4 linked regions of the Elephas maximus indicus genome follow. The protein of the gene in region 2 interacts with the protein of the main gene of each other region in a pairwise test. Links are inferred from orthologs where the notes say so. Each region holds a gene or a part of one and is shown on either strand. Other genes may lie near its edges.

The links.
Region 1: the proteins of JUNB (region 2) and BATF2 interact in binary tests that used the Homo sapiens proteins (3 or more experiments, as listed by UniProt). The link is inferred for Elephas maximus indicus from reciprocal best matches to the Homo sapiens genes JUNB and BATF2.
Region 3: the proteins of JUNB (region 2) and BATF3 interact in binary tests that used the Homo sapiens proteins (3 or more experiments, as listed by UniProt). The link is inferred for Elephas maximus indicus from reciprocal best matches to the Homo sapiens genes JUNB and BATF3.
Region 4: the proteins of JUNB (region 2) and ATF4 interact in binary tests that used the Homo sapiens proteins (3 or more experiments, as listed by UniProt). The link is inferred for Elephas maximus indicus from reciprocal best matches to the Homo sapiens genes JUNB and ATF4.

What each region holds. Positions count from the first base shown.
Region 1 is NC_064825.1:128,185,758-128,192,736, forward strand, and holds the start of BATF2 (basic leucine zipper transcriptional factor ATF-like 2), read right to left. Parts: upstream 3,008-6,979; 5' UTR 2,849-3,007; coding exon 2,829-2,848; intron 2,117-2,828; coding exon 2,044-2,116; intron 1-2,043. Other genes in the region: ARL2 (ADP-ribosylation factor-like protein 2), read left to right, coding at 3,161-3,225, 6,329-6,439, 6,525-6,687.
Region 2 is NC_064821.1:31,491,416-31,498,012, forward strand, and holds JUNB (transcription factor JunB), read left to right. Parts: upstream 1-4,251; 5' UTR 4,252-4,543; coding exon 4,544-5,587; 3' UTR 5,588-6,078; downstream 6,079-6,597. UniProt on the Homo sapiens protein: Transcription factor involved in regulating gene activity following the primary growth factor response. Binds to the DNA sequence 5'-TGA[GC]TCA-3'.
Region 3 is NC_064842.1:1,338,693-1,345,686, forward strand, and holds the start of BATF3 (basic leucine zipper transcriptional factor ATF-like 3), read right to left. Parts: upstream 3,008-6,994; 5' UTR 2,985-3,007; coding exon 2,907-2,984; intron 87-2,906; coding exon 1-86. UniProt on the Homo sapiens protein: AP-1 family transcription factor that controls the differentiation of CD8(+) thymic conventional dendritic cells in the immune system.
Region 4 is NC_064822.1:183,485,766-183,493,069, forward strand, and holds ATF4 (cyclic AMP-dependent transcription factor ATF-4), read left to right. Parts: upstream 1-4,615; 5' UTR 4,616-4,804; intron 4,805-5,478; 5' UTR 5,479-5,570; coding exon 5,571-5,796; intron 5,797-5,879; coding exon 5,880-6,715; 3' UTR 6,716-6,797; downstream 6,798-7,304. UniProt on the Homo sapiens protein: Transcription factor that binds the cAMP response element (CRE) (consensus: 5'-GTGACGT[AC][AG]-3') and displays two biological functions, as regulator of metabolic and redox processes under normal cellular conditions, and as master transcription factor during integrated stress response (ISR).

The DNA of each region.
Region 1 (6,979 bases), on a different chromosome or scaffold from region 2:
CAGCAGGCTAGAAGTCTGAATTCAGGGCGTCAGCTCCAGGGGAAGGCTTTCTCTCTCTGTAGGCTCTGGAGGAAGGTCCTTATCATCAGTCTTCCCTTGGTCTGGGAGCATCTCAGCACAGGAACCTCAGATCCAAAGGACGCACTCTGCTTTCTTGGTGGTATGAAGTTCCCATGTCTCTCTGCTTACTTCTCTCTTCTATAACTCAAAAGAGATTGGCTTAAGACACTGTCTAATCTTGTAGGTCTCATCAATATAACTGCTGCTAATCCGTCTTATTACATCAGAGTGATAGGATTTACAACACATACGGAAATCACATCAGATGATAAAACGGTAAACAATCATACAATTATACAAGGGAATCACGGTCTAGCCAAGTTGACAGATACTTTTGGGGGGCACAATTCAACTCACGACACCAACCAACTGGAGGAGAGCCATATTTATGCCTATTCCAAAAAAACGTAATTCAACAGAACGCAGAAATTATCCAACAATATCATTAATATCACATACAGGTAAAATATTGCTGAAGATCATTCAAAAGCGGTTGCAGCAGTATATTGACAGAGAACTGCGAGAAATTCAAGCCAGATTCAGAAGACGACATGGAAATAGGGATATCATTGCTGATGTCATATAGAACCTGGAGGAAAGTAGAGAACACCAGAAAGATGTTTACCTGTGTTTTACTGACTATGCAAAAGCATTCAACTGTGTGGATCATAACAAATTATGGATAACATTATGAAGAATGGGAATTCCAGAACACTTAATCGTGCTCATGAGGAACCTGTACAAAGACCAAGAGGCAGTTGTTGGAATAGAACAAAGAGATATTATGTGGTTTAAAGTCAGGAAAGGTATAGGTTAGGGTTGTATCCTTTCACCATACTTATTCAATCTGTATGCTGAGCAAATAACCCCAGAAGCTGGACTATATGAAGAAGAATACGGCATCAGGATTGGAGGAAGGCTCATTAACAACCTGCGTTATGCAGATGACACAACCTTGATTGCTGAAAGTGAAGAGGATTTGAAGCACTTACTGATGAATATCAAAGACCACACCCTTCAGTATGGATTGTCCCTCAACATAAAGAAAACAAAAATCCTCACAACTGGATCAATAAGTAACATCATAATAAATGGAGAAAAGATTAAGTTGTCAAGGATTTCATTTTACTTGGATCCACAATCAACACCCACGGACGCAGCAGTGAAGAAATCAAAGGACGCATTGCATCGGGCAAATCTACTGCGAAAGACCTCCTTAAAGTATTTAAAACCGAAGATCCTCCCTTGAAGACTAAGCCATAGTGTTTTCGATCGCCTCATATGCATGTGAAAGCTGGACAATGAACAAGGAAGACTGAAGAATTGATGCCTTTGAGTTATGGCTTGGTGAAAATATTGACTATACTACGGACTGCCAAAAGAAGAAACAAATCTGTCTTGGAAGAAGTACAGCCAGAATGCTCCTTAGAAGCAAGGACAGGGAGACTTCGTCTCACATACTTTAGACATATTATCGGGGGGATCAGTCCTTGGAGGAGGCCATCATGTTTGGTAAAGTAGAGGGTCAGCGAAAAAGAGAAAGACCCTCAACAAAATGGACTGACACAGTGACTGCAACAATGGCCTCAAGCATGACAAAAATTCTGAGGATGGTGCAGGACCAGGCAGTGTATCCTTCTGTTATGCATAGGGTCTCTATGACTTGGAACCGACTCAAGGGCACCTAACAAGAACTCTGCTAGAAGTCCCTGGATGGTACAAATGATTAAAATGTTCAGCACCTAATGGAAAGGTTGAAAGTTCCAAGTCCACCCAGAAGTGCCTCAGAAAAAAGGCCTGGCACTCTATTGCAAAAAGCCAGTCATTGAACACCCTATACAGCACAGTTCTACTCTGACACACAAGGGGTCACCAGGAATCAGCATTAACTCCCCATCAACTGTTTGGTTCCTTTGTGCTGTCTACTCACACTTACCCTATAGTGAACTTGTGGAAGGGCTCAAAATAACACACGAGACTCACCCTTCTGAGCTTACAATCTGCTTGCTTCCTGGCCTCAGTTTCCTCAGTTTTTCTGGATCTCTTGGGTACTAAACTAAGGGAAAGAACCAAACTGTTGGACAAAGTCACTCATTCAACAGCAACTATTTATTGAGCATCTACTATTTGCCAGTCACTGTGGGCCTCAAGAAAACCCTGGTTGTGTAGTGGTTAATGTTTAAGTGCTACCGCTGCTAACTAAAAAAGGTCAGCAGTTCCAAGAATCCACGAGGCACTCCTTGGAAACCCTATGGGGCAGTTCTACCGCCCTATAAGGTCGTTATGAGTCAGAATCGACTGGACAGCAGCGAGTTTTTGGTGGGCCTCATTTTTGTCATCAGCAAACGTGAGATTGTTTTTCTTCAAAGGGAAACCATGGGCTCAGGCGGGACAATTCTTGTGAGGGTCTGTCCCCAGCATTGCAGGACACTACCTACTATCCCTGCTTCCCACCGTCTAAACGTGGGGGAATCTTCCCTCCGTCGCTGAATCAACCCAAAACACGCAACCCCACCCCACCCCGCACATTTCCAACGGTCCCTAGGGACCAATACCGGCATTCAGGAGCCTGGCAAGGGGGAGGCCCAATTCCTGTTCCGTCATTGGCAAATTTAGGATGACACCAAGGCCCCAAAAGAGCGGGATCTGGACCACGTTTCCGGGTAACAGGCCCTTACACAGCCTCCAGGACAGCCCCAGGTCATGAGGCTCTCGCTTCTGACTCCTGGGTCCCCGGCTGGCCACACCTTTTTGCAGGTACTCCCTACCTGGCCAAGATCCAACCCATGAACTTCAGGTTTCCGTTCCCGGCCGAGTTTTTGGGTCCTGGGAGGACGGAATAGACTCGCCCTCGCCCCCAACTGTCGGCCCTCGGGACGCGAAGGGTTAAGGCAGGTGGCCGCGCAGAAGCCGCGCCGCCGCTAGAGGGACCCCAGCAGAGACACAGCGCGGCCGCTCTGAGGTCACGTGGGGCAAGGGCGGGCCCAAAAAGGGCTGGCCAATGGGCTGTGCTGTCGCTGGGCGTGATAGCCAATAGGAGCAAGGAGCGGGGATCCCAGGACTAGGAAGAAACGGCGGCCGGGAGGGGGCTGCTGGGATCATGGGGCTTCTGACCATTCTGAAGAAAATGAAGGAGAAAGAGCGGGAGCTGCGACTGCTCATGCTGTATCCTCCCGGACGGCGGAGCCGCTAGGGTAGTGGGGTCCCAGCCGGGGGGCAGTGACAGACGCCCCCTACCGGGCGCGGGGTGCGCGGCCGGCCAGCTCGTACCAACTGCCCATTGTGCGTCACGCACGTGGGCCCTACCAATCGCTCGGGCTGGGGCCGAGAGGAGGCCGTACCATCGGCTCGGGGAGGGGGGACTCCAGTCCAGAGGCCAAAGGTGTGGGCCTAAAGGCGCAGCGGAGGGACCAGGCGTCCCAAGCGTAGCGGGGCGATAGGGCCCGGAGGTGACTCAGACGTCACCGTCCGGAGGCCTGGCACGAGCGTGGGACCGCTGTCCTCCCGGCTCTGACCTCTTCCCCCCTGTCCGAGGGTGCCGGCCCCGGCCCCGCCCCCAAACTCGGAATCCCGGGGACGCGGCCCCGCCCTCTGCTCCCGGGGGGCGAGGGTTGGTTCCGCTGGGCGGTTTGCTTGCGGGCTAGACTGTGTGTGACACCCCGCGGCCCCTCGGTGTCCCCGAAGCTGAGGACTTGTTAGCCCCAGGGTCCCTGCATTCATTCACCCTACTCTGTGTGGCGCAGTGGTAAAGAGTTCCGTCGTTAACCAAAAAGGTTGGCAGTTCGAATCCACCAGCCGCTCCCTGGAAACCCTATGGGGCACTTCGCGCCTTTCCTATAGGGTTACTATGAGTCGGAATCCACTGGACAGCAGTGGGAGTTTTACACTGTGCCGGGCCACGTGGGGCATCTGAGACCCACTAGTTGGGCCAGCAGAGAAGTCGCTTATGCGCGCAAATAATTTAAAAATATGCCCGCCGTGTTCATTTTAAAGATCCCGGAGAAAGGCGCAGAGAATTCACTCATTCAAGAAATACGTATTTATGGAGCGCCTCCTGTGTGCCATGTTTGCTAGGTAAAACAGCAAAACAAAGTTCTGTCCTCTTGAATGTTATAGAATGCCTGAGGGGAGAAAGATGATAAAACAAATAAAATATTTTTTGTGGGGAGAGAAGAATGCCGTTAAAATAGGGTGAGCCAAGAAAGGCTCCTGGAGATGACGGGTGAGTAAAGTGAGGGGTGAACTGTGTAATTACCTGGAGAAGACTAGTCAAGGCAAAGACAAGGGCAAGTGCAAAGGGCCCAAAAGGAACTCAGCTGGTGCGTTCAAGGGCAGTGTGACTGGAGAGAATGAGCAGGGAAGAGAGCACTAGAAGATTAGGTCAGAGGTGTCTGGGGAAGACAGTCCAGGCAGGGTCTTGTACAGAGGAGAAGAGTGGTCTGACTTTGGCTTCTGTGTTGCAAATAGAGGACATGGGTTAAGGGCAGAAGGGGGAGACCAGTTAGGGGTCAATCACGATAATGAGAACGAGATAGGATGGTGGCTTGGATCAGAGTGGAATCATCATAGTGATGAAGTAGGAAGGTAATGAGAGAGCAGGCAGGAATTGCTCCTGGATTGGCCAACGGTGTGAGAAAGCAAAGTCAAGCCTGACTCTTGGCTTTCTGGCCTGAGCAATTAGAAGAATGAGGAGCCTAGCTGACAGAGAAGACCAGGGCAGAGCAGGTCGGGACAGGGATGGAAGCTGAGAGCTCACTTGGCCATGTGAGATGCCTCTGAGACATCCCAGGAATGTCAGGGAGGCAGCTGGGTTTTGGGACAGGTGACCAGGGGAGCAGCTGGGCGAGAGGCATCAATTTGGGAGTCAACAGCATAAAGATGGTATTTGCAGTCAGGATCCTGGATGAGCTCACCTAGAGGGTGAGTGTGACAGAGAAGAGAGTGAAGTGTACTCCGTCCAATCAAGAGATCAGGGTGATGAGGAGGAGCAGCCAGGAGATATGAGGAGGCCCCAGCGAGGACATGTCTCAGAGCAAGGGCAGCATGGGTCAGGGAGTGAGAGACAGGCAGGTCTGTCAGGTGCTGCTGGTAGAGCTGGAAGATGGGAACCAAGCACCGACCAGCCATTGGAGAGCACAGTGGAGGTCTCTGGGGACTGACCATGGCAAGAGCAATTTTAGGGAGGCAGAGGGAGCAGAAGCCTGATGGAAGTGGGCTCTAGAAAGAGCAAGAGGGCAGATTGGGGAGAGTGATGGAGGCAGCGTTTCGAGGAGCTTTGCTGTAAAGGGAAGGAAATAAACAGCTAGCTGGAGAAAGGAGAGGGAACAAGAGAAGGTTTTGTTTGCTTTTTCTAAGCGGGGAGTAACAACAGTGAGGTTGTCAGCTGATGGGAATGATCCCGTGTGGAAGGAATCATGGATGATGCAGGGAGAGGGGAGAAATATCAGCTGCCAGTTATCAGGGGCCGTGGCTGGGTTTCAGGGCAGGTCCTCTCATCACCCCATTTCATGGCTTGAGTCACTTGCCCCAGGTAAGGTGAGCAATAAGAGGCTGAGCCCAGGGCCTGTGTCCCTCCACACACACACACACGCACACACACACACACACCACACACACACCACACAGAGCTACAAGTCCCCGTAAGTGTTGGAAGGAAAGAGGAAGGTTGTCTCTCCCACTTGGGGAACTCACCATTCCTTTGCACACTCATTCAGCAGTAAAGGGTTTGGTACATTCCAGAAACAACGAAGAAAGGGTAGGTGCCCCCAGTTATTTGCTCCTGCTGTTCCCTCTGCCTGGAATGCCCTTCCCCAGTCTTTCAGAAAACTGACTCCTTGTAGTTCGGGCCTCACCTCAAGACACCTTCTCACAGAAGGTGACCTTCTCAGAGCCTCATCATTGGGTTTCTGAAGCTCACCAGCATCTTAAGTTTCTCACTGGTTTGCACTTTTTCAGCTGTCTCCTTGCTCAATTGTGAGCTGCCCAAGGGTGGGGACTTTGTCCTCTTATCTGGGGTGCCCCCAGCATCCAAAAGGGGGCCTGGCATGTAGTAGATATTCAGTAAACATTTGTGGAATGAATTAAGGGATGACAACACCCACCTTGTCGGTGAAGTAGAGATGATAAGATGTTTATTTCTTGATCCTTCATATTTATCGTGGGTCGATGGCAGGCCAGGCATGTGCTCAACTGACTTTGATTTGTGGTGAGTGACAATGCCACCAATCTGCAGAGTGTGAGCACTTCTCCTTAATCCGGTGTGCCCCAGTGGCCTGGACAATGCTGGCAAAACAACCATCCTGAAGAAGTTCAATGGGGAAGACATCGACACCATCTCCCCGACGCTGGGCTTCAACATCAAGACCCTGGAGCACCGTGGGTGAGCAGGATTTCGGCGGGCGGGTGGGCAGGGAGGGTGGGAGAGGGGCTGGGCTGACCCTCCAGCTGCCCCCTCCCCTGCCCAGATTCAAGCTGAACATCTGGGATGTGGGTGGCCAGAAGTCCCTGCGGTCCTACTGGCGGAACTACTTTGAGAGCACCGATGGCCTCATCTGGGTGGTGGACAGCGCCGACCGGCAGCGCATGCAGGACTGCCTACAAGAGCTCCAGAGCCTGCTGGTGGAGGAGGTAGGCAGGGGCCTGCCTGGGCGGGGGGCTTCCACCAGATGCTCGGAGGGCTCCAGGACCCCAGAGGGTCACTTAGGGCCATACCCTGGTCCTTCACTGAGCACCCTCGGGGAGGCAGAGACACACCTTTCACTTGATTCAGGGAAGCCCATGGTGCTGTGGGCAGGGCACATGCTGTGGACCGGGACCTGGGGTCATAGCCCTGTGCTGTCACCGCTTCACAGCTCTGAGCTTCAGTTTCCACACCTTGGAATGACAGCCACATTATCAGATGACTCATGGTCAGTGCATG
Region 2 (6,597 bases):
CTTGTGGGAAACTCCCCCCATGCCCAGCTGAGTCAGCCTGAGGAGACCAACTCTACTTCCTGCTTCCAAGAAAACCCAGCAGCTTCCTCTCCTGGAGAGGGGTGAGGGGTGCTTCCTGCACCTTGAACCCCCCAAACCACATTGGAGGGAGGTAGCTGGCAGGCCAGGGGTTCCTGGGGGAGGCCTCCATGATCCTCAGCCTCTTCCTGCCCAGCTGCCTGTCCACACCCAGGGGCAGGGACTCAAGAGGCTGGGTGCCGAGGCTTGTGGCTTCTCGCCCTGGCCTGCCCACTGCCTGACTCAGGGCAGCCCCAGGCCCAGTTTCCTGGTGGGGGCCCTGTCGGTCAGTGGGGCCGGGGGGGAGGGGGTCATCAGGCTATTTATAAGAAGGAAGTCTCTCATGCCAAGGCCAAAAGCCCCAGAGAGACCCGTGGGTGGGGGTGGGTGAACTTCCTCTTATTCTGCCCCCCAGGCCCTGGGTCCCTGGGCATGGGGGAAGCCTGGGCACAGACTGCTCAGCCAGATGCAGGTGTGGAGTCCAGGACCTGGGCAGTACCCACATCCAGGTCAGCTGGGGGAGGGGGCTAGCCTCACGACCTCCTCAGGGAGCTGGCCTCGGCGCCAGTGGGACGGCGTGAGGGGGTGGTGCCCAGGCCACAAGGGTGAGACTGGCAGGAGCCTGGAACCAGCTGTACCAGCTTGGCTGGGCCCCCACCCTGGCTCCATGGCCCAAACCCCACCCCTTGCCCAAACACCTGAGCAGGGTGCATCCAGCGACCCCATGCTGGCCGGTACACACCCACCCTCACCCACTCTCCCTGTGCCCAACTCCATCTCTCTCCAGATTAAAGGAGGCCCTTTGTGAAGGGGCCTGCAGAGCTTGCCCCACAGTTGGCACTCCACGAAGGTCCCCTTCCTGCCTGGTTGCCCCTCTCCCCATCCTTCACTCTCTGACCGTTTTTCTCTCTGGTTTTGATTATCTACAGGACAGTGGCTAATGCTTTGGGGCCAGACATCTTGGGTTATATCTACCACTTATAGCTGTGGAACGTTGAGCAAGTTCCTTAAGCTTGGCTGCCTCAGTTTCTCCTCTGTTAATGGGGATAAAAATAGCATATATTTTGCCGGGTTGTTGGAGGCATTTAATGACTTACTACATGTCAACCACTTAGAAGAGTGCCTGGCCATATAAGTAAGCACAGTATAAGTGTTAGCTATTAAAATAATCATTATTTTTAAGTTTGTCTACCTATCTTAAGTGTCTCTGAGTCTCTCTGTCTCTGTGAAGCTAACCTTGCTCCCATTTGTCTCTCTGGCATCTCTCCCTGCCCTGATACCTCACCCCCATGTGCCCACTCTCCTTGTTTGGTTGTCCTTTGAGATTTGCCCTCCATCTCTGACCCTCTCTGGCAGAGCCTTGCCTCTCTGCTGGACTCCCCTGGCGTGGGCTGTCTCAGCATTGGCTGGCCTGGGCTAACTCACTGTAGCCTCCTGGTCTGTGGGACCTGCAGGTCAGCTTCCCAAGGTGCTGCCCTCTGGCCTTGGCCTTCCCAGCCCCCCAACGCTGCCTGATGCACCCCCACAGAGCCCGGCCAGATGTCAGCTGCAGTTATTAGCATGGGCGGGCAGGAGACACAGGCCTGGCAGCAAGCCCGCCAGACACAGCGGCTGGAATCTCCCTTGAGACTGGAGCGGGGGAGGGGAGCAGTCACACAAGGGTAAGGGGGAGGGGGCATTTAGGGGTCACAGGGACCCTTCAGAGCCAGGGACACCCCCACCTTCTCATGGGATCTTCCTCCCGAAGGCCATTGCTTTGCTGGACTTTCCCCTGTCCCCATACAGCTCAGTTTCTTTTTCGCCTCTTTCATTTTCCTTCTCTCCCCCACACTGGGCGAGCTTGGTGCCTGCCCCACGAAGGTCTGCCAGCCCCTGTCCCTCAGACTCAGCCTTTCTACCCCAGAGAAAGTTCCACCCTTCTAGAAGACACAGGCCTGGAAGGTACAGAAAGAAAGCTTTTCCCCTGAGTTCCCCAGTCTGGGCTTCTCGCCTCTTGTTCTAGTGGCTCATACCCTAACTGCTTGGAAGTCCCACTTTAAGTCTAGCTAGAATCCTCACCATCTGAATCTATACCCAGTTCTTCCTGGGGAAGGTGTGCTGGTTCTGTGATTCTCCCCTTGGATTTTCAGCTCATCTCTGACTGGGGTGGCAGAGGGGGGCCCTCAATGGAGGGAGACATCCTGGGGAGGAAGGGGCCTCCCTCCAGGTATTATAGATGGGACCCACTGACTAGGTGAGGGAGGCAGGGGCATCCCAGCCCCTAGGAATGTGTGTGTTGGGGGTGCCCAGACCTCCCGGCAGAGGGGAAGGGCACCTCGCCCAAGGGAGGAGGCAGCCGTGCCAGCCTGCCCAGGCGCCAGGGGTGCCTCTAGGCATCGGCCCGCCTCCTCCGCGCCCCATCGGGCCGGGAGCGAAGTTCGACCCAGGCCCGCTGGCAGGCGGGGACCTGCCAGTCTGGGCTGGGCAGGGCCGGGCCAGCCTGGCAGGACGCGGCCCCACAGCGGCTGGGCGGGGCCGGGCTAGGCGGCCGTGGGGGCTCCGGGGGCGGTGGCCGGGGCTGGTCGGGACTAGCCAGTCCGGGGGCCCGGGCGCGCCCTGGGACCTGGCAGATATTGGTGCTCCTAACTCCTGGCTCGCGGCCCCGGGACAGCGCTGGCACCACCCCTTCCTGTGCCCTTATATGGGCCTCGGGGAGAGCTACTCCCCGGGCGGCCCCGCCCCCAGTCCCTGCTGGCGGACTCGGGCCGTTACCATGGCGACCAAGCCCCGCTCCCGGGCTGCGCCCCCCTCCGTCGGGATAATGGAAAGGTCTCCGTTTTGCCTTGAAAGTCGTCTGCAGGCGCCGCGAGCGGAACCACTGCTGGGGGCGGGGGAAGATAATAGGAGCTCTCTGCGGCTGGGCGGGCCCCGAGCGCTCGGGCCTCGGCGGGGGTCTCAAGCCCAGGTTCCTCTTCTGAGGCACGGAACCCGGCCAGACCCAGGGCGGGGTGCACGGTCCGGTAGGATACGAGTGACGGAGGCAGGGCCGGGCTCCTTCCCCGGGGGCTGTTGCCACACTTCCTGCCGCCACGCTCTTTCCCCAGCCTGTTTCTAAGGAAGGGAGTGGGGTTGGGCGACCGCGCCCCGGCCATCGGGCTGGGTCCAGGCTCCGAAGTTGACACGGTGTAGGGCAAGCCCAGGGTCAATGGGGGAGGCCATGGAGCTGGGGACAGAGTATTCGGGCGCCGATGGGTCACTACGAATGGGGTTGCGCTAGTCATGGAAGATTCGGCACAGCCTAGTCCCCAGGATCCTGGGAGCCCCTTCCTCGCACATCTCAGCTGGGGACCCTCCTGCCATTGTCCTCTGATTTGAATATATGTTCCAACCCTTCTAACTCTCCATCATGGCTTCACAGATTACCCCGGTGACTCCCCAACCTAGTGCCCCTGACAGACATATTCCATTTTCTACTCCACGTATTTTCCCTGGCCAACTGTACCCGAGGACCCGCATCCCTTTATGCATATCTAAATTTCCCCATCTTCATTCCTCCCCCACTTAGGCAGGGCCCTCAGATTGTCCCATGGATGCCAGCATCCCTCCTCATTTCTGGTATAATGGGTCCTCCAGCTTCTCCTCTTGTATCCTTTTTAAGCGTTGCCTTTCTTCGTTTTTCTAAGTCCCTCCTGTGAAAAGTTCCGGAACCCCCACTCAATTCCTGTGCCAGGCGTTTCCCCACCCCTTCCCATTTACTCGCTTTAACCCTCTTCCCCTTGTTTTTTTGGGCTCCCAGGGTATTATCAGAGTCCCAACCCCTCTGGAATACTTCGGGTCCCTCAGGCCTTTCGCTTACACCCTGGGATACCCGCCCCCACTTCCTCTGTACCCTGTCCTCCTTTTTCTCAGGTGTACTCCAAGGGAGCCATTGCTCCTTCTCAGCCCCTCCCCCAGATGCCTCGTGTCCCCCAGCAGATCCTTCCTCGCGTACTCCGGGGTCCCCCAGCCCCTCCCCTGCAGCCGCGCCGAGCCACACGGCCCATGGCCGCTGTTTACAAGGACACGCGCTTCCTGACAGTGACGCGAGCCGCCTCCTCCCCTTCCCCACGCTCGAAGAGGGGGGCGCGGGGGCCGGGCTCGGGCGACCGCCAATCCGAGCGCACTTCCGCAGCTGACAGCTCATATAAAGACCAGCCTCTCTGCTCAGCGGCCGGGACCTTGAGCGCGGCCAGGCCACCTTCGGAATCTTCAGGGAACGGGGAGCGGGGGCAAGCGACACAGAGAAAGCGAGCGCACTAGAGAGGGCGAGGAGGACACGGGAAGCTGGGTAGAGCTTTCGCGCACAGCCGCCGGCTGGCCGCTCCCCGCCCGAACCAGTCGCCGGGAACGCGCGTTCCGACAATCAGTCCGGTCACCGCCGCGGACAGCGCACCGGTCGCTGCAGCGAGGCCCCGGGCGGCCCCGCAGGGACCACCCCCCCCGCCCCCAAGCCCGCCGGGCCGCCCGGATGTGCACTAAAATGGAACAACCTTTCTACCACGACGACTCATACGCAGCAGCGGGCTATGGCCGGGCCCCTGGCGGCCTCGCTCTACACGACTACAAACTCCTGAAACCCAGCCTGGCGCTCAACCTGGCCGACCCCTACCGAGGCCTTAAAGCGGCCGGGGCGCGGGGCCCCGGACCAGAGGGCAGCGGAGGCAGCAGCTACTTTTCCAGCCAGGGCTCGGACTCGGGCGCTTCGCTCAAGCTCGCCTCGTCGGAGCTAGAGCGCCTGATCGTCCCCAACAGCAACGGCGTGATCACGACGACGCCCACGCCACCGGGACAGTACTTTTACCCCCGCGGGGGTGGCAGCAGCGGAGGTGCAGGGGGTGCAGGGGGAGGTGTCACTGAGGAGCAGGAGGGCTTCGCCGACGGTTTTGTCAAAGCCCTGGACGACCTGCACAAGATGAACCACGTGACGCCCCCCAACGTGTCTCTGGGCGCCAGCGGAGGTCCCCCGGCCGGGCCCGGCGGCGTCTACGCGGGTCCGGAGCCGCCTCCGGTCTACACCAACCTCAGCAGCTTCTCCCCGGCGTCTGCACCCTCTGGCGGCGCCGGGGCCGCCGTCGGGACCGGGAGTTCGTATCCGACGGCCACCATCAGCTACCTCCCACACGCGCCGCCGTTTGCCGGCGGCCACCCTGCGCAGCTGGGCCTGGGCCGTGGCGCCTCCACCTTCAAGGAGGAACCACAGACAGTGCCGGAGGCGCGCAGCCGCGACGCCACGCCGCCGGTGTCCCCCATCAACATGGAAGACCAGGAGCGCATCAAAGTGGAGCGCAAGCGGCTGAGGAACCGTCTGGCGGCCACCAAGTGCCGGAAGCGGAAGCTGGAGCGCATCGCGCGCCTGGAGGACAAGGTGAAGACGCTCAAGGCCGAGAACGCGGGGCTGTCGAACACTGCCGGCCTCCTCCGGGAGCAGGTGGCCCAGCTCAAACAGAAGGTCATGACCCACGTCAGCAACGGCTGCCAGCTGCTGCTCGGGGTCAAAGGGCACGCCTTCTGAGCGCCTCCCCGCTATGTACGGACACCCCCTCCAGCCTGGACGGCTGGGCGCACGCCTCCCAGGGGGGGCGAGGAGGCAGGCGTGGACACCGGCCCCGGGGCCTAGGGGCGCCACAAACCACACTGGACTCTGGCCTGCTGGCTCTCGCCCAATCCTTCCACCTCGACGTTTACAAGCTGCCCCTTCCACGTTTTTGTATGTTTTTTTTTCTCTTCTAGAAACAGACTCAATTCATATTGAATATAATATATTTGTGTATTTAACAGGGAGGGGAGGAGGGGGCGATGGCGGCGGAGCTGGCCCCGCTGCCTGGTACTCAAGCCCGCGGGGACACTGGGGAGGGGACCTCGCCCCCTGCCCTCCCCCCTCTGCACTATACTGTGGAGTGGAAACACGCTTGGTTTATTTTAAGATGTGTTTGTGTGTGTGTGTGCGTTTATTGTTCTGACTTTTTATTGAATTTATTTAAGTAAAAAAAAAATAGTTCTTTATTAATTTCTGGAGTCTTTTTTTCTAAGCCGGGCGGGCGGAGGGAGGAGAGTACTGGGCGGCCCTCACCCCACCGCTGTTTGGGGCTCACTCCAGTGCCTGCATCCCCCTCTCCAGCCCTGTCCAGCCATCTTAATGTCCCAGCCTAGCGGTCCGGCCCTCATATCCTGAGCTTGGTGGTCCCCGGGGGTTGGAAGGTGCGGGACGCGGTCAGTGTCCCAAGGGCGCGACGCGAAGTGCGCAGACGCGGCCCGCCCAGCCCCGCGCGCCGGGGCTTTCCCCGCTGACGCAGCGGAAGCGCTGCCCATACATGGACCGATTCTGCCCAGTGACGCGCTGGCGGTCTCCGGGCAGATTCCGGGAATCCCCTCCCCCGCTCTGCCGGGCAGGGCCGCAGCGCCGGGAAGGGGGCCGGGATTTTCCCGGGCAGGCGTCTGCCCGGGCCCGGAAAGCCCCAGGCCTGGGTCCAGAGCGCCCGGGGTGGGCGGGCCGCGCTCCCGGGCCCCGGGAACCACCCGCAG
Region 3 (6,994 bases), on a different chromosome or scaffold from region 2:
TTCTGGGTCTGCTTCTTCCTACTTCTCTGAGCAGCAACACGGTTTTTCTCTCTTCTTCGGACCTTCCTGTCATCATCTTCTGGACTCTGGGGGAAAGCATTTGGTCAGATGTGAAGTTGAGGCTCCTCACCTCACCCCTCTCTGCTTTCTCTTTTCACTCAGCATTGCCAGTCACGCTTCACCAATTTATTGCAGTGTGCAGCACTTGTTAGGTGTTGTCCAGTCAATTCCGGCTCATAGTGACCCCATGTGACAGAGTAGAACTGCCCCAAAGGGCTTCCTATGCTGTAATCTTTATGGAAGCAGATCACCAGGTCTGCTGGATGCCACTGGGTGGGTTCAAACCACCAACCTTTCAGTTAGCAGCCAAGCTCTTGACCATTGCTCTACCAGGGCTCCTGGGATAACTCTAGCTCTTTGTTAAGAAGCACTCACCAGGCTTAGCTGCTAATCCCCACAACCACCCTGAGAAATGGGTGGTCTGACCACTATCTGAAAGATGAGGAATAAGAAACTCAGAGAGCTTAAGGAACTTGCTTCAGGTATCATGGCTAGTAAGCGGCTGAGTGGGAAGTGGAACTCAGGTCTGTTGGGCTCCAAACCAATGTTCGTAAACCTTTCCAGGGCGTGTGCAGGAAGACTTGTGGTGCTCATCCAAGACTGGGAAAGCAGAGAGCACCTGGAACTTGCTGTGTGCCAGGCTTCCCCACATCACGCACAAACAGGTGCCTTTATACTGTATGCAGATCACGGTTACAACTAAATGCAACCACATAACTCCACCAACAGACAACGTGCTCATGTGAACAATGCTTGGCTTCCATTTTGTTTCAGAAGTCAAAGTGAATCAGAAAGCAAATTTTCAATGTATCTTGAAAGTTTTTATATGAGTTTTAGCCAAACTTAGTCAAATCCTGCAAGAGTTATCATGAAACAGGCAGGCAGAAAAATGCGCTTACCATGATGAAAACACGTCACTCCGTTACAGAAAACATGCAGAAGCAGAATAGTATTTGCTTTCCAGACCCTGTGAGAACACACCAAGGTAGGGGGGCAGGGAGGGAAAAAGCGCTACCCTTAAGAAATCTAAAAACCAAGAGGTTACCCAAAATGGAGCACAAATACAGGAAAGACACTCAATTATTAATATTAATAGAAAACAAAACACTAACAACACAAAATGATCATTTTATCTACTCCTGTATTCCAAATAGGTGAGACACACATCATCCCTCCAAGTTACTGCAGGTAAAGAGATTTTCAGTGAATGTGAGTATGTAAGAGTGTAAAAGGGGAAGAAAATAACACACAGAACAAATAGGAGTGGTCTGGAGACAGTGCTTAAGAGGACAAAGTGTAAAAATGAAAGCTTCTAGGGGCAAAGAAGACTTGGTAATCATAACCAGGACACCACAGTTAGACACTCAAGAAGTGTGAGAAAGAAAAGGAGTGAGAAAATGTGGTGTAGAGGGCAGAACTTCAGTTTTAGAATAACATACACCCTGGTGGTGCCTCTTACTACCAATATGATGGTGGGTAAATGGCTTAAATTCTCTCAATTTTCAATTCCCTCATCTATTGTAAGTGTGATTCATTTTTTTTCAATAAATACTGGCTGAGCACCTACCGCCTGCCAGCCAGTGTTCTAGGCACAAGCCCTGAACAGACGGTGGGTGATCTCATGGGGCTTCCAAGCTGGCAGCCCACTGCTAGGGCTCATAAGATAACACGTGATTTTTGTCTTCAAGCTTCCAGCACACAGCACGCCCTCAATAGGCCACTTGCCTCTGCCGGGGTTGCTGCTGTTTTTTATTGCCTCTGCCACAGGGCTTGCCACCAAATTTTGCCTCTTCACTTCCCATCATCCTAAGTCATGGGGCACTAGTCACTCTGCAGTGAGGCAGCCCACATCCTGCCCTCTGGGCGCTGACCCTCGACCTGGGCTTAACCACGTAGCTGTCCACACCTGACAACCCAGCAGAAGAAACAAAAAATCAAGACAGAACATACTGAGACAGTCATATAACTATTAACCATATTTCATTTAATCCTCACGAAAATCCTGAAAGGTGGATGTTATTATATTCATTTTACAGATGGGGAAACCGAGGCTCAGGGAAGTTAAGCAAATTGCCCAAGGCTACTCAGGCCGTGTGTGGCAAAGCCGAGTCCTGAACTTAGATCTCTGAGACTTAAAGTCACCGATGACATTATGTGCCAGGCACGGCGCTCGGTGGCGCCATAAAGATGAAAAGACCCAGTCTCGGTCCTTCACTGGAAGCAAAGCTGGCGGACGGCCCTGCCTGAGCGCAGCGTTGTCCGTTTCCCGCGGGCGCGGTTGTAAAAGCTGCCTGGGACATCGCCGCCGAAACCGACTGGACGGGGACGAGGGGTTTCCTCTAGCGCTGGGGGTGGAGGGGGTGGAGCCTGCGTCCATTGCCGGGGGCCCCCACCCCACGCTCCCCATTCCGCCCGCAACTGGAGCGTGTGCTGGGAGTGGCTCGGCGCCAGCAGCCTCCCCGGCCGAATTCCCCTCTCCACGCCCTGGCTTTCACCCGGAGTGGCCAGGAAGGGCTAGGCGCTCAGGCCGTGGGGCAGTGGCGCCCCGGACAGCGTGGAGCCCACGTGCGGGGAGCGCGGCCGGGCTGGGCCAGCCAGGCGTCGGCGTCCTGCCTCCTCTCCCCGCCCGGGGCGCAAGAGCCGGCTCCCCATCCAGGCCCCGCGGGCACCGTGAGTGCGCCAGGGCGGCTGGGCAGAGACGCACGCAGGGGCCCCTGGTCCGCCCTCCCGCCCGCTCGTCTCCCGGAGCGCCCTCCACCCCCGCACCCCAGCAGCCACCACCCCGGAACCCAGCGCCCAGCTCCTCGCGCCCCGGGCGCCCCCACTCCTGGGGCCCCTGGCACTACCTGCGGCTGCGGTTGGTTCCCGGGCGCCGCGACGCTCCTCTGCAGGACACTGCCGGCCGCCGGGAGCCCTTGCGACATGCCGGGCGCTCCTCGGCCCGACCGCCCTGCCCCCGGCGCTGCTACGGGGACCCTCCCACCCGGGGCATCCTGGCTCCCCGGCACCTGCCGGCCGCCCGGCCCCTTCCGCCCCGCCCCCGCGGGCTTCCCGCTCTCCCTGTCGGCGGCCGTGGCGCGCGGTCCCGGGGCTCCCCACCCCAAGGTCCGCCCTCGTCCTGCCCGTCCCCACGCCGGGCCCGCCCCTCCTTCTCCCACCCCGCCTCGTTTCCTCCTTTCCCGCCCTCTCGCCGCACCTCGGGGTCCCAATCCCACCCCGGGCGCAGGTTTCCGCTGGGGCCCTGCGCTTCGTGGAAGTCACGTGGTGGCTCCGAAACCCGGAGGGAACGCGAAGCCCACCCGCAAGAGGCTACACTGGGGTGGGCATGGGGGGTTAGGGAGGCGCAGCGCGGCACAGCCTTTGGGGTCCCTCGGCCGCCCCTGAGGAACTCGGGCTGAAAAACACGAGTGGGTGGTTTGGCTTGGTGGTTTTTTCCCGGTCCCATCACAGCATCTTCCTGCGCATCCGTCACATCTCGCCAGCCGCTCACAGTCCCGGGACTTTCTCCGCAGCCATTAGTCAGCCTGGCGCCCGAGGCGCTGCCCTCCCCACCCTCACGCCCTCCTCGGCCCTCGGCTCCCCAAACTGGGAGGTGCAGGGAATGGAGACGGACCAGCCGGCTTCACCAAGTCCCACCGCGCACCCTGAGGGTCACCCCTCTTTTCACCAGCCCCGCCGAGCTTGTGGGAGGGAGCAGACGGGGAGGCCCCGAGGGTGAATTCCCAGGGAGAGGGGGCCGGTTGTCCCAAGAGAAACAGTGACATTGACCTCACTGGACGTCACCGTTGACAGGTTTGGGGATCCGGGCCCCCCCCACGCTAACGTTAAACGCGCCAGATCTTATTTCTTTTTCAAGATCAAAGTGATCTACAGGTCAAGATGCGTGGCTGTCACCACGCCGGTGCCGAAGTGGGAGTGAAGTGGAGGTGCGCGGTGCTTTCCCCTCCACCCGCCTGCCAGTTAAAAGAGGCGACGTCAAGACAAAATCGTACATGGTCCCAGCAAAGAACTAACGAGCGGTTACGGGTTTGTGGTCTGGATGCTGTCAGCACCGGGAGAGAAAGATAACCGCGAACCCGGGGGGTGGGGGCGGGAACTCCGACCAGAACTCAGAAGTGCTGTCCGGGTGTGGTCGTTAGTCCTTCGGGCTCAGAGTGCGGCAGGCGCAGGGACGGACTCTGACCTCAGCCCAGTGCCCCTAGCTCTCCTTCAGGTCGAAGACACTCTCGAAAGCTTCGAGACGGTGCTTCGGTGAACTTGGCTGTCTGGCCGAGGTCAGGAGAGCGAGCGGAGATGTCTGTGAGCAGGGGTCCTGAGAACGCAGGGCGGAGATGCAAGGCAGCCAGCGGGAGGGCACGGGGGACACAGCCCGTTACAGCCACAGTGCCACCCACTACAAGGTCAAGGGAAGCAGAGCGGAGCCATCTCTCCTCGGCTCTGTTGCCTGGGTTTCGCCTCTCCCTTGTATTTCATCACCGAACATACCCCATGGAGGCTCCTGGGCTGTTACTTTTGTATCCCACGCCGGTACACACAGGGCGCCTTGTGCAGCATGCTACACACAGCAGGTGCTCAATTTACTGACAAATGAAGCGTGTTTCAGCTGAGCCCACATTCTTGAAACTTAAAAAGACTCTAACAAGTTAGGAAAACCTCTGGGGCGAGTGGTGGTTAATTCTGAGCAGGGCTTGCATCCCCCCATCCCCCCCCCCCCCCCCGCAAGGTGTTCAAGAACAGAAAGGGCAGGCAAAGCCCGGAGCAGACGTTAGGTGCACTCCCAGCTTCCTTCTGGCTGGTGTCGGTTTTCTGCTCTTACTTAACCACACCACAGTCTAAGGCATTTGTGGCTGTACCTGCTTGTCTCTGCCCCGGGAGCCTGGGCCTTGTCCCGGCACACAGGGACTCTCCGTTTAGGCATGGCCTGGGCTGTCATGTTAGGCAAGGCTACCTTCACATACCTCCAAGGAGGAGTCGATTAACTGCTTAGTGTTTAAGGAACAGATCAATTTGACCTACATATCATAATCAAAATTAATGGATTAGGCAGTCAGATATAGAAAATAAAATTAGGGAGATAAAACAGAATTAAATCCTTATTAAAGCCCTGGGAATAAGACCACAAGGAGAGAATTATCTAAGACTAAAAAAAACTAAGGCATGAAGAAATCCCGGTGGAAAGATCTGGACTGTATACGAATGTTAAACGGTTTTAGACGACAAAATAGCCAGAAGTTAAAAACAAATATACTAGGAAAAATATTCATGATAAACATGACAAAGGGTTAAGATCTCTATTGGATCTATAGGTCATAGAAAGAAATAAGAAAAATATTGGGACGAACCCCAAAGGCAAATTGCTCAAGTGACATGAACTGGAATTTCTCAATGGAGTTAAAAAAAATAGAGATAGGAAAAACACATATTAAAATAAGAAATTTTTCAAATATTGAATTACCAAAACAAAAGGTTATAATGTCAAATGCTGGTGAGCGTGTGGTGAAATTATTACTCTTGTATTTCACTAGCATTGTTACACATTGGTGCAAATCTATTGGAATGCAATTTTATTGTAGCTTTCAAGAACCAAAAGAGAGACACCACTTATGACTCAGTTCTCCCACATCTAAAAAAAATCCTAGGAAGATAGTTGAAAATAATGAGAAAAATACTATTGCACTAAATATACATAATAACATTCTTAAGAGTGAAAAATTATAAGCAACATAAATGTCCAATTGTAGATGAATAACTAAATAAAACATGGTGCAGCCACTGGGTAGAATAGTGTACATTTTTAAAATTACAAGCATGCAGACAAATTTACTACATGACAGACTGATTTGCTATCAGGTAAAGTAAGAAAAACAACCAGGATACAATAGTACATGTATAACACATGTAACATTATGTAAAAATATGACACATGTAACATTATATAAAAATGTATACATATGAGAAAAGACCAAAAGACCAAGGTAACAGTAGCTTTTCTCTCATGGTGGTGGGTTTATACGTAATTTTCTTTTGTCTGTTTTTTAAAACTTTTTGAAATTTTGTTTTATTATGTTAACATTTTTAAACATTTTTTATTTACAGATGATATTCCCTTCCTTGACGCTAAGGTCAGTTGTCATCCCAGAATGGCAACAATGCTCTGACCAGGTGGAATCCTCTTGTTTTTCTGTTGTATTTTCTGGCTCATTTTATCACCTTTAAGTCAAAAGGAGAAAGAAAAATGAAATGAAGAAAAGATAAACAAGCCCAGACATTTCAAATGTCACCTTTTCCTCCTCTGCCTTTTCTTTTTACTTGTGCTTTTTTCCTTTGAACTGAGAAGAGAAATTATATGATTTGGCGATTTCCTATTAATACCACAATGACCTTGGAGTGCAACTTTGGGGATAGAGAGAGGAGGTTTACAGCTCAGTGACCACATTCTTTGGTGATTCCCTTCACAAGAAAACAGTTGTTTAAAAAATGTGACTCAAAGGCTAGAAAACCTGGTCACCATTTCACCTTTGCCTTTTCAGTAGTTGAACTTTCACTACTCTTTCTCAGAGGGTGGTCCCGTGGGCTTCCGGTGGGACTAGAGAATAGAAAGTTTAAGGCAGAGACCACTGTGTCTACCCTGCTGTTGTGTGCCAGGCAGGGTTCTAGGCACTGGGATACAAGGAACAAAGCAAAGATCCACACCTTCACAGAGCTTACTCTAGAGAAGGGAGAGACGGACAATGAGCAAACACAGCATGTTAGTTAGCAGTACGATCTATGAGAAACATGAAAGCAGTGACCAGCACTAGGGAGTAGTAGAGGGAAGGTTTGCATTTTTGAATATGGAGGTGGAGCAAGGTTTCCTTGAAAGAGGTGAACCACGGGAACATCTGGTGGAAAGGGGCTCGTGAGGCATGAAGGGCAAAGGCAAAGCCCCATGGGA
Region 4 (7,304 bases), on a different chromosome or scaffold from region 2:
TTATAAAACCTACACTTTTCCCACATTCCACAGAACACATTGGAAAGAGAGCTCAAAAAAGAAACAATTTTTAAGACTGAGTACTAAATTATCAAAGGCCAAGTGTAGCTGTGATTGTAGGGAGGGAAATGAGTTTACCTCCTCTCACAAAGAGCGCCTTTCTGAGAATGCCTCTGTCATCTAACCACGTCAGCCACAAAATCAAACACCGTAGTTTTGTCACTTTACGAGCAAGAACCTCTTAGAAGTCCTGAGAATTTCCACCCACTGGCACTTCTGGCCTGTTCTGGAGGGTTTGCTGATTGGGACTGGGCAAGCCGCTCTTTGCTGCCATTTTCCTCCTCATAAAAGGTGGAAGATGGTTAAGCGTTTTGAGATTCTTGGATGGAAGAGGGCGACGTTGTTCTGCCTTGTTTGTTTTTTCAAACTTTAGTTACAGATGGTAGTGGCTTTCCCCTGCTCTGCCTCCTTATTCAGTAACCCCTATCTTTGCCTGAAGTAACAGAATCTGCTCCTGCTGTCTGGAGGGTTTGTGCACCATTTAGGTTAGCAAACCACACAGTGAGCCTCAGGCTTAAAAAGACACTCGTTATTATCCTGAAAACCCTATCAAAGGTTTTTTTGGTTCTTCCTTGTTGCCCCTTCTTAAAAAATGAGCTCAGAACAGTGGATATCTTTCTTTCTTTTTACAATTGGTTGGGGCTTTTTTCTTTAATAAATTAATGTCAAAGTTTATGTTTGGTAAACTTGTGTTCACACGCCAGATTAGCTGATTTTGCTCCCGTGTTCTCCACTCAAGCTGAGAGCTCAAGTGGTTTTGATGAGGAATCAGGTTTAGGATCAAAGGGCCCTGGAGGGTCCCTGCAGATGATTTTCCAGGTGGGGAACCTTGCATGTGTCCAGATTGCTCTGCTAAGGTCCTTAGGACTAGGGCCCTGGCTGTGAACTTCACTCAGAGGATTTGCTAGAGCTCTGCCCTTCCTTCCTGAAGTTAACAGACAGGGTAAGAGATATTTAGGCAAAGGCTGACCCTGCACTGGGCTGTGAGGCTGTAGCCCTGTTAGACACTGCTGGACTAACACAGTGACCAAAATACCAGGGGTTATTCTCGGGTAACTACAGTCAGGTTGGTGTTTACTTTTTCATTGTGACTTTAAATTCTTGGTCCTGAGACCAAGTCCACAACTTGCCTTGTAGTCACTTGGCTCTCCTTCAGTGCATTTGATACGTATAGCTGGTCAGTCTGGAGCCTATCACCAGTCTTTCTGTCCTGGCTTGGCCAGGTCCATGCAGGAACAGCTTAGCCTTGAGGCCCAGAGAATCACTATTTTTCTCCTTGAGGGAGGAAATACAGCTGGGGAACATGATGTCCTTCCACAGCATGGGAAGAAGAAAATAAAACTTTGCAACAGCTTTGACTTGTGTGCGTGGCAGGAAACATTTTCCTCTGGGAGTGGAACTGGGTCTCCATTTTCAGTGAGAACCTTTGAAGGACTTGACCTGGGTCTCTGTAATAGAATGGATGGGACAGGCTGCCACCGGAGTCATTCTGCCATGGCCTCTGCAGTGCCAAAACTAGGGCAGTGTTCAGTAAATTCAAAACCAAACTCATTGCCGTCAAGTCAATTCTGGCTTATAGCAACTCAGTAGGACAGAGTAGAACTGCCTCATAAGGTTTCCTAGGCTGTAAATCTTTGCAGAAGCAGCCTGTCCCATCTTTCTCCCATGGAGCAGCTGGTGGGTCCAGACCACCAACCTTTGGGTTAGCAGCTGAGTGCTTTAACCACTGTACCACGCCACTAGGGTGCCTCACTTAAGTCTCAGGCACCTGCATGATCATCAGGCCGGAGGCAACGAGAAGTCTTGTGATAGAGCAAGAGGAGGACACTCCCCAGGGGCCCTTAGTTACTCTTTAGAAGATTGTATAAGGGCTCAGGGGCTCTCGCTGGCTTTGCCTGAAAGTTTCGACAACTTCCTGTATTTCAGCACTCATGGTTCCCAAGGGGAAGGAAGAACCACTCATTTATCCCAGCATCTAGTATTCCTTGCATATCTCTGATGCTTCAAAAATAGTCCTTGGTTTCATCTGTCAGTAAAGAATAGTGAAGTCCCCTGAGGAAGCAGGATGATACAATGGAGATAAGGGCAGAGAGACTGGGAGGTCAGGATCCCAAGACCTGAGTTCTAATAGTAAGAATAGCAACCATTTACTGAGCACTGACCGTGAAGCAGGCACGTACTTTACCTGTATGACCTCATTTCATCCTCAGAGGATAGGTACCATCAGCAGCCTCATTTTACAGACGAGGAAATTGAGGCTCACAGAGGTTAAGTCATTTAGCCAAAGTGTCCCAGGTAATAGTAGAGCCAGGATTCTTTTCGGTTTGGCTCCCAAATCTGTCTTCTAACCCCACCCGGAAACCCTGGTGGCATAGTGGTTAAGAGCTACGGCTGCTAACCAAAAGGTCGGCAGTTCAAATCCACCAGGCGCTCCTTGGGAACGCTATGGGGTGGTTCTACTCTGTTCTAAAGGGTTGCTGGGAGTCAGAATCGATGGCAACAGGTTTGATTTTTCGGGTTTTAACCCCTACCCTGGAGTCCGTGGGTGGTGGGAATGGTTAATGCGCTTGGCTGCTAACTGAATGGTTGGAGATTCAAGCCCACCCTGAGGTGCCTCAGAAGAAAGGCTTACTTTGAAAAATCATCCATTGACACACATCAATTGACTTGATAGCAACTTAAAAAAAAAAAACTACATACTGCCTCTAGTGGGAGCTGGGTGACTGGGCAAGATGCCTCATCCTGTTAGGCCTCAGTTTAGTATTGTTTAAAATTTGTTGGGCTAGATTGAATCAAGTCAAAAAATGGTCTGTAGTTCTCCAGGACAGTGCTTCCCAAGTGTTTTTTTTTTTTTTTTGACATCATAGCCGTGGTAGAAATAACTATATGGCACACTGATGAATGGAGGAGGAAACCAGGCCTCTGCTGCAGGCAGGGGATGAGGGCACGGTTGGGAGGTTTCCCAGCACTCTACAGCTCCATCATAGAGAGCAAGTCGCTGGCCCAGACTGAGACAGCCGCACCCAAACACACCAACCCCCAGCAAAGGGACATGGTTCTCAAGCTTCTCTCCTCACAGGGTCACTAGGATGACTTCGTGGGAAGTTGGTCATGCTTGGGAGTGACAGAACTGGGAGTTACTGAAACTATCCTAGTGCGAGAGATGCCAGGTGAATAAAGTCTCCCCGTGTTCTCAGAGGAATTGCATCTGCATAAACTGGAAGAAATTCCTGCTTGACTGCATACTTTTAAATGAGTGGCAAACACAGTTTAGCAGAATGGATATTGTAAAACACAGGTTGGGCGATAAAGTTACGCACAAGGAGTTGAGGGTGAGGACTTCGCGCTGGGCCTCGACGGTAGGGGGGCGTGGGTCTAGTGATCTCCCAACTGAGGTCCGAAGATTTAGCGCCCTCTCCCCGCCCCTCTCAGCTACTGGAGGGCTTGCAGTAGTGAATGCACATATGTAATGACATTTCCCTTTTGACATAGTTTTATCCTAGGGACTCCCTCGGAGCCCGCAGAGGACCCACCAGAAGCCAGTCAGTGAATGATGCCCGCGGCCCCGGGTGCTCTTGTCTCTCTTGAATTCATGTCATTGCCTCAAAGCATTTTTATTGCAGTTAACATTTTGTTTGCCGTTTTTCTTTGCTGTAGCAACAAGGCTCCCCATTATTTCTGGGGGCAATTTTATTAGCTATTAGTGGTTATCTCTAGCGGACAGTCAGCTGTCCGTGTGGGATCGCTCGGCAAGATAAAGGGTTGCACTAGGTAACTTCCAGGGCCCTTCCAGGGGGGAAGTCAACCCCATGTGTACAAACAGAACAAAAGATGGGCGGAGGAACTTGGGGACAAAGAGCCCGGCCTGGCGTTGTTTCGTCACGTCAATGAGGAAGGGAAGGGGCCGGGCCCTAATGCCACTGTTTGGGGCGCCCTGGGCTACAGCTGCCCGGAGACGGGTGCTGGCGCGGTCGTGGGTGCTGGGCGGCCCGGACTGAGAGGCCGCCCCAGCCGCGCGTCTCCGAGAAGGGGCAGCGAAGGGCCGAGGCCGGCGGCGGGAACCGCGCTGACAGCTCTGGCCCTTCCCGCGCGGGCCTGGGCTACGTCACGGAGCAGCCCGCCCACCTCGTCCTGATCCAATGGGAGCCCGAGACACGTGTAACTCTCCATGCCAGGCCCAATCAGCTCGACGCGCGCTCCCGCCAGCATCTCGCGCGATAACCGGGCGGCTTGGGATGAGAGGCTTCTGTCCCCGCCCCTCGGCTGACTCCGGAAGCGAGGCGACCGAGGGATTCCTCCGCTCTCCGGGGCGCCGAGCGTCTAATCTTAGCAGCCTTGTAAAGTAGTGCGCCTCTTTCTTTTCGCGAGGCCTTGAGAATAGCTCATTTTCTTTTTACAGTTACGTCCTGGACCTAAAGACCGTGGGTTGGAAAAGATCAGGGAGTCAGATAGGCGAAACCTCGGAGGTAAGAGGCGAAGGTCACGTGGCCAGGGCGGAGGAACATGACTGTGGTGCGGCCCGCGCCGGCGTGTATAAAGGGCCCGCGAGGGCGCGGCGGCCATTTCTCCTCCCGCCTTCAGATGTAGAGCAGAGACGTAGCCCGCGCCTTCCCTCCCCGCCCGCAGGGTCCGCAGCCGTCATGGCGTATTAGAGGCAGCAGTGCCTGCGGCAGCGTTGGCCATTGCAGCGGCGGCAGCAGCACCAGGCTCTGCAGCGGCACCCCCCAGCGGCTTAAGCCATGGCGTAAGTACCGGGGTGGGGCCCGCTGGCCGGGCGTCCCGGGCCGGGCGGACGTGGCTGGGCCGGGCGCGGTCCTGGGGCCGGGCGGCGTCGCGGGGGCAGGAAGCTGTTTTACGAGGCGCCGGCGCCGCGGGAGCCCTGCTGGGTGTCCCCGAGACGCCGGCGCCCTGGGTCGGGGGGAGCGGCCGGCGCCGTCGGCCGGCGAACGTGGCAGGAGCCAAGATGGCGGCGGCGGGGCGGGGCGGGGCGCGGCGGGGGCGCCGTGGCCGGATTTGGGCAGCGCGGGGAGCGCCTTCCCCGGGGCGGGGCGCCGTGGCCGGATTTGGGCAGCGCGGGGAGCGCCTTCCCCGGGGCGGGGCGCCGTGGCCGGATTTGGGCAGCGCGGGGAGCGCCTTCCCCGGGGCGGGGCGCCGTGGCCGGATTTGGGCAGCGCGGGGAGCGCCTTCCCCGGGGCGGGGCGGCGGCCGTATTTGGGCAGCACGGAGAGGGCCTTCACCCCGCGGCGGGGCCGGCTGAGCCGGGACGCAGCCAAGGGTGCTCGGTGCCTCCGAGGCCACGTGCGCCCCACTCTCCAAAGCCAAGCGGGCTTCCCACGCGGCCGTCCTGTCTCAGGGCAGAACGATGAGGTTCCCAGACGAGCCCGTGTCTGATGGGCCTTCGTTCCCGGCTCCTTGCAGGCTTCTCACGGCATTCAGCAGCAGCATTGCTGTAACCGACAGAGACACCTTCGAATTAAGCACATTCCTCGATTTCAGCAAGGCCCCGCGTTATGGCCGAGATGAGCTTCCTGAGCAGCGAGGTGTTGGTGGGGGACTTGATGTCCCCCTTCGACCAGTCGGGTTTGGGGGTTGAAGAAACCCTAGGTCTCTTAGACGACTACCTGGAGGTGGCCAAGCACTGCAGAGCGCATGGGTTCTCCAGGGACAAGGCTAAGGCAGGCTCCTCCGAATGGCTGGCTGTGGACGGGTTGGTCGATGCCTCAGACAACGGCAAGGGTGAGTGGCTGTCCTTATCCCCCGGCGTGGTCTGGGTCACTTGTGCTTGGGGAGAGTTGATGCCACTTTTTTGTGTCTTGTAGAGGATGCCTTCTCCGGAACAGATTGGATGGTGGAGAAAATGGATCTGAAGGAGTTTGACTTCGATGCCCTATTGAGTCTAGACGACCTGGAAATTATGCCAGCCGAGCTTTTGGCCACGTTGGATGACACCTGTGATCTCTTAGACCCTTTAGTCCAGGAGACGAATGAGCCCCCCCAGACATTGAACCCAATTGGTCATCTCCCAGAAAGTTTTCCCCAAACTGACCAGGTTGCCCCATTGACCTTCCTGCAACCTCTGCCCCATTGCCCCGGAGTCCTGGCCTCCACTCCAGACCATTCTTTTAGTTTAGAGCTCGGCAGTGAAGTGGATATTTCCGAAGGAGATAGAAAGGCAGATTCTTTTCTGTATGTTACCGCGGTCCCTCAGTGCATAAAAGAGGAGGAGGCCCCTTCAGATAATGACAGTGGCATCTGCATGAGCCCTGAATCCTGTCCAGGATCTCCCCAGCACAGCCCCTCCACCTCTGGGGGCTCTCCAGATAGGAGCCTGCTGTCTCCACCTGCTCTCGGTGGCTCTGCTCGCCCCAAACCTTATGATCCTCCTAGAGAGAAGGTGGTAGCAGCAAAAGTAAAGGGAGAGAAATTGGATAAGAAACTGAAAAAAATGGAGCAGAACAAGACAGCAGCCACTAGGTACCGTCAGAAAAAGAGGGCAGAGCAGGAGGCCCTCACGGATGAGTGTAAGGAGCTAGAAAAGAAAAACGAGGCTTTGAAGGAGAGGGCGGATTCTCTGGCCAAGGAGATCCAGTATCTGAAAGACTTGATAGAAGAGGTCCGCAGGGCCAGGGGGAAGAAAAGGGATTCCCTAGGGTAGTCAGGAACGGGTGCTTGTATATAGGAGGCTTGCGCTGAAGCTGTGTTGTAATAAATTATTTTGTAGTGAAAGTACTTATGTAGATGTGCTGTGTATCGTAAGTTTTTTTGATTTGTGGCTAAAATGATTCACTTAACCCTTCCAGGAGTGGGTTCTGGTCCTTCATGGGGTCCAGGGGTGGGTGAGATCATTACTGAGGATCACAGGTTTGATAGGCTGTTTGGGTGGGGTGGGTCATGGAAGGTGATGGTTTCCATTGGGTCCCCGAGTTTCAGGCAAAGAGTTGGGCTTGAGCCCAACAGCTGGCTGGGTGTTTTTCTGGAACTGAACTCTTAGGGTTTCTCTTACCAGTAACCCATTGGGGTGGGGCTGGAGAGTTAGCCCTCAGGACTTACGGGACAGCTGGGAGGGCAGAACTTCCTGGTCTTGTTGACACAACCTTGGCTGTATTTTAAGCTTTGCCAGCTCTGTAAGCTGTTTCCCTGAAGGGAACCTGTTCAGACAAAAGGCTTCAGATTTTAAAGTGGGCCTGGAGGGCTGAGAATTGTCTCAAATGACCAATCCCAATGCGGTGGAGTGGAATGGACGA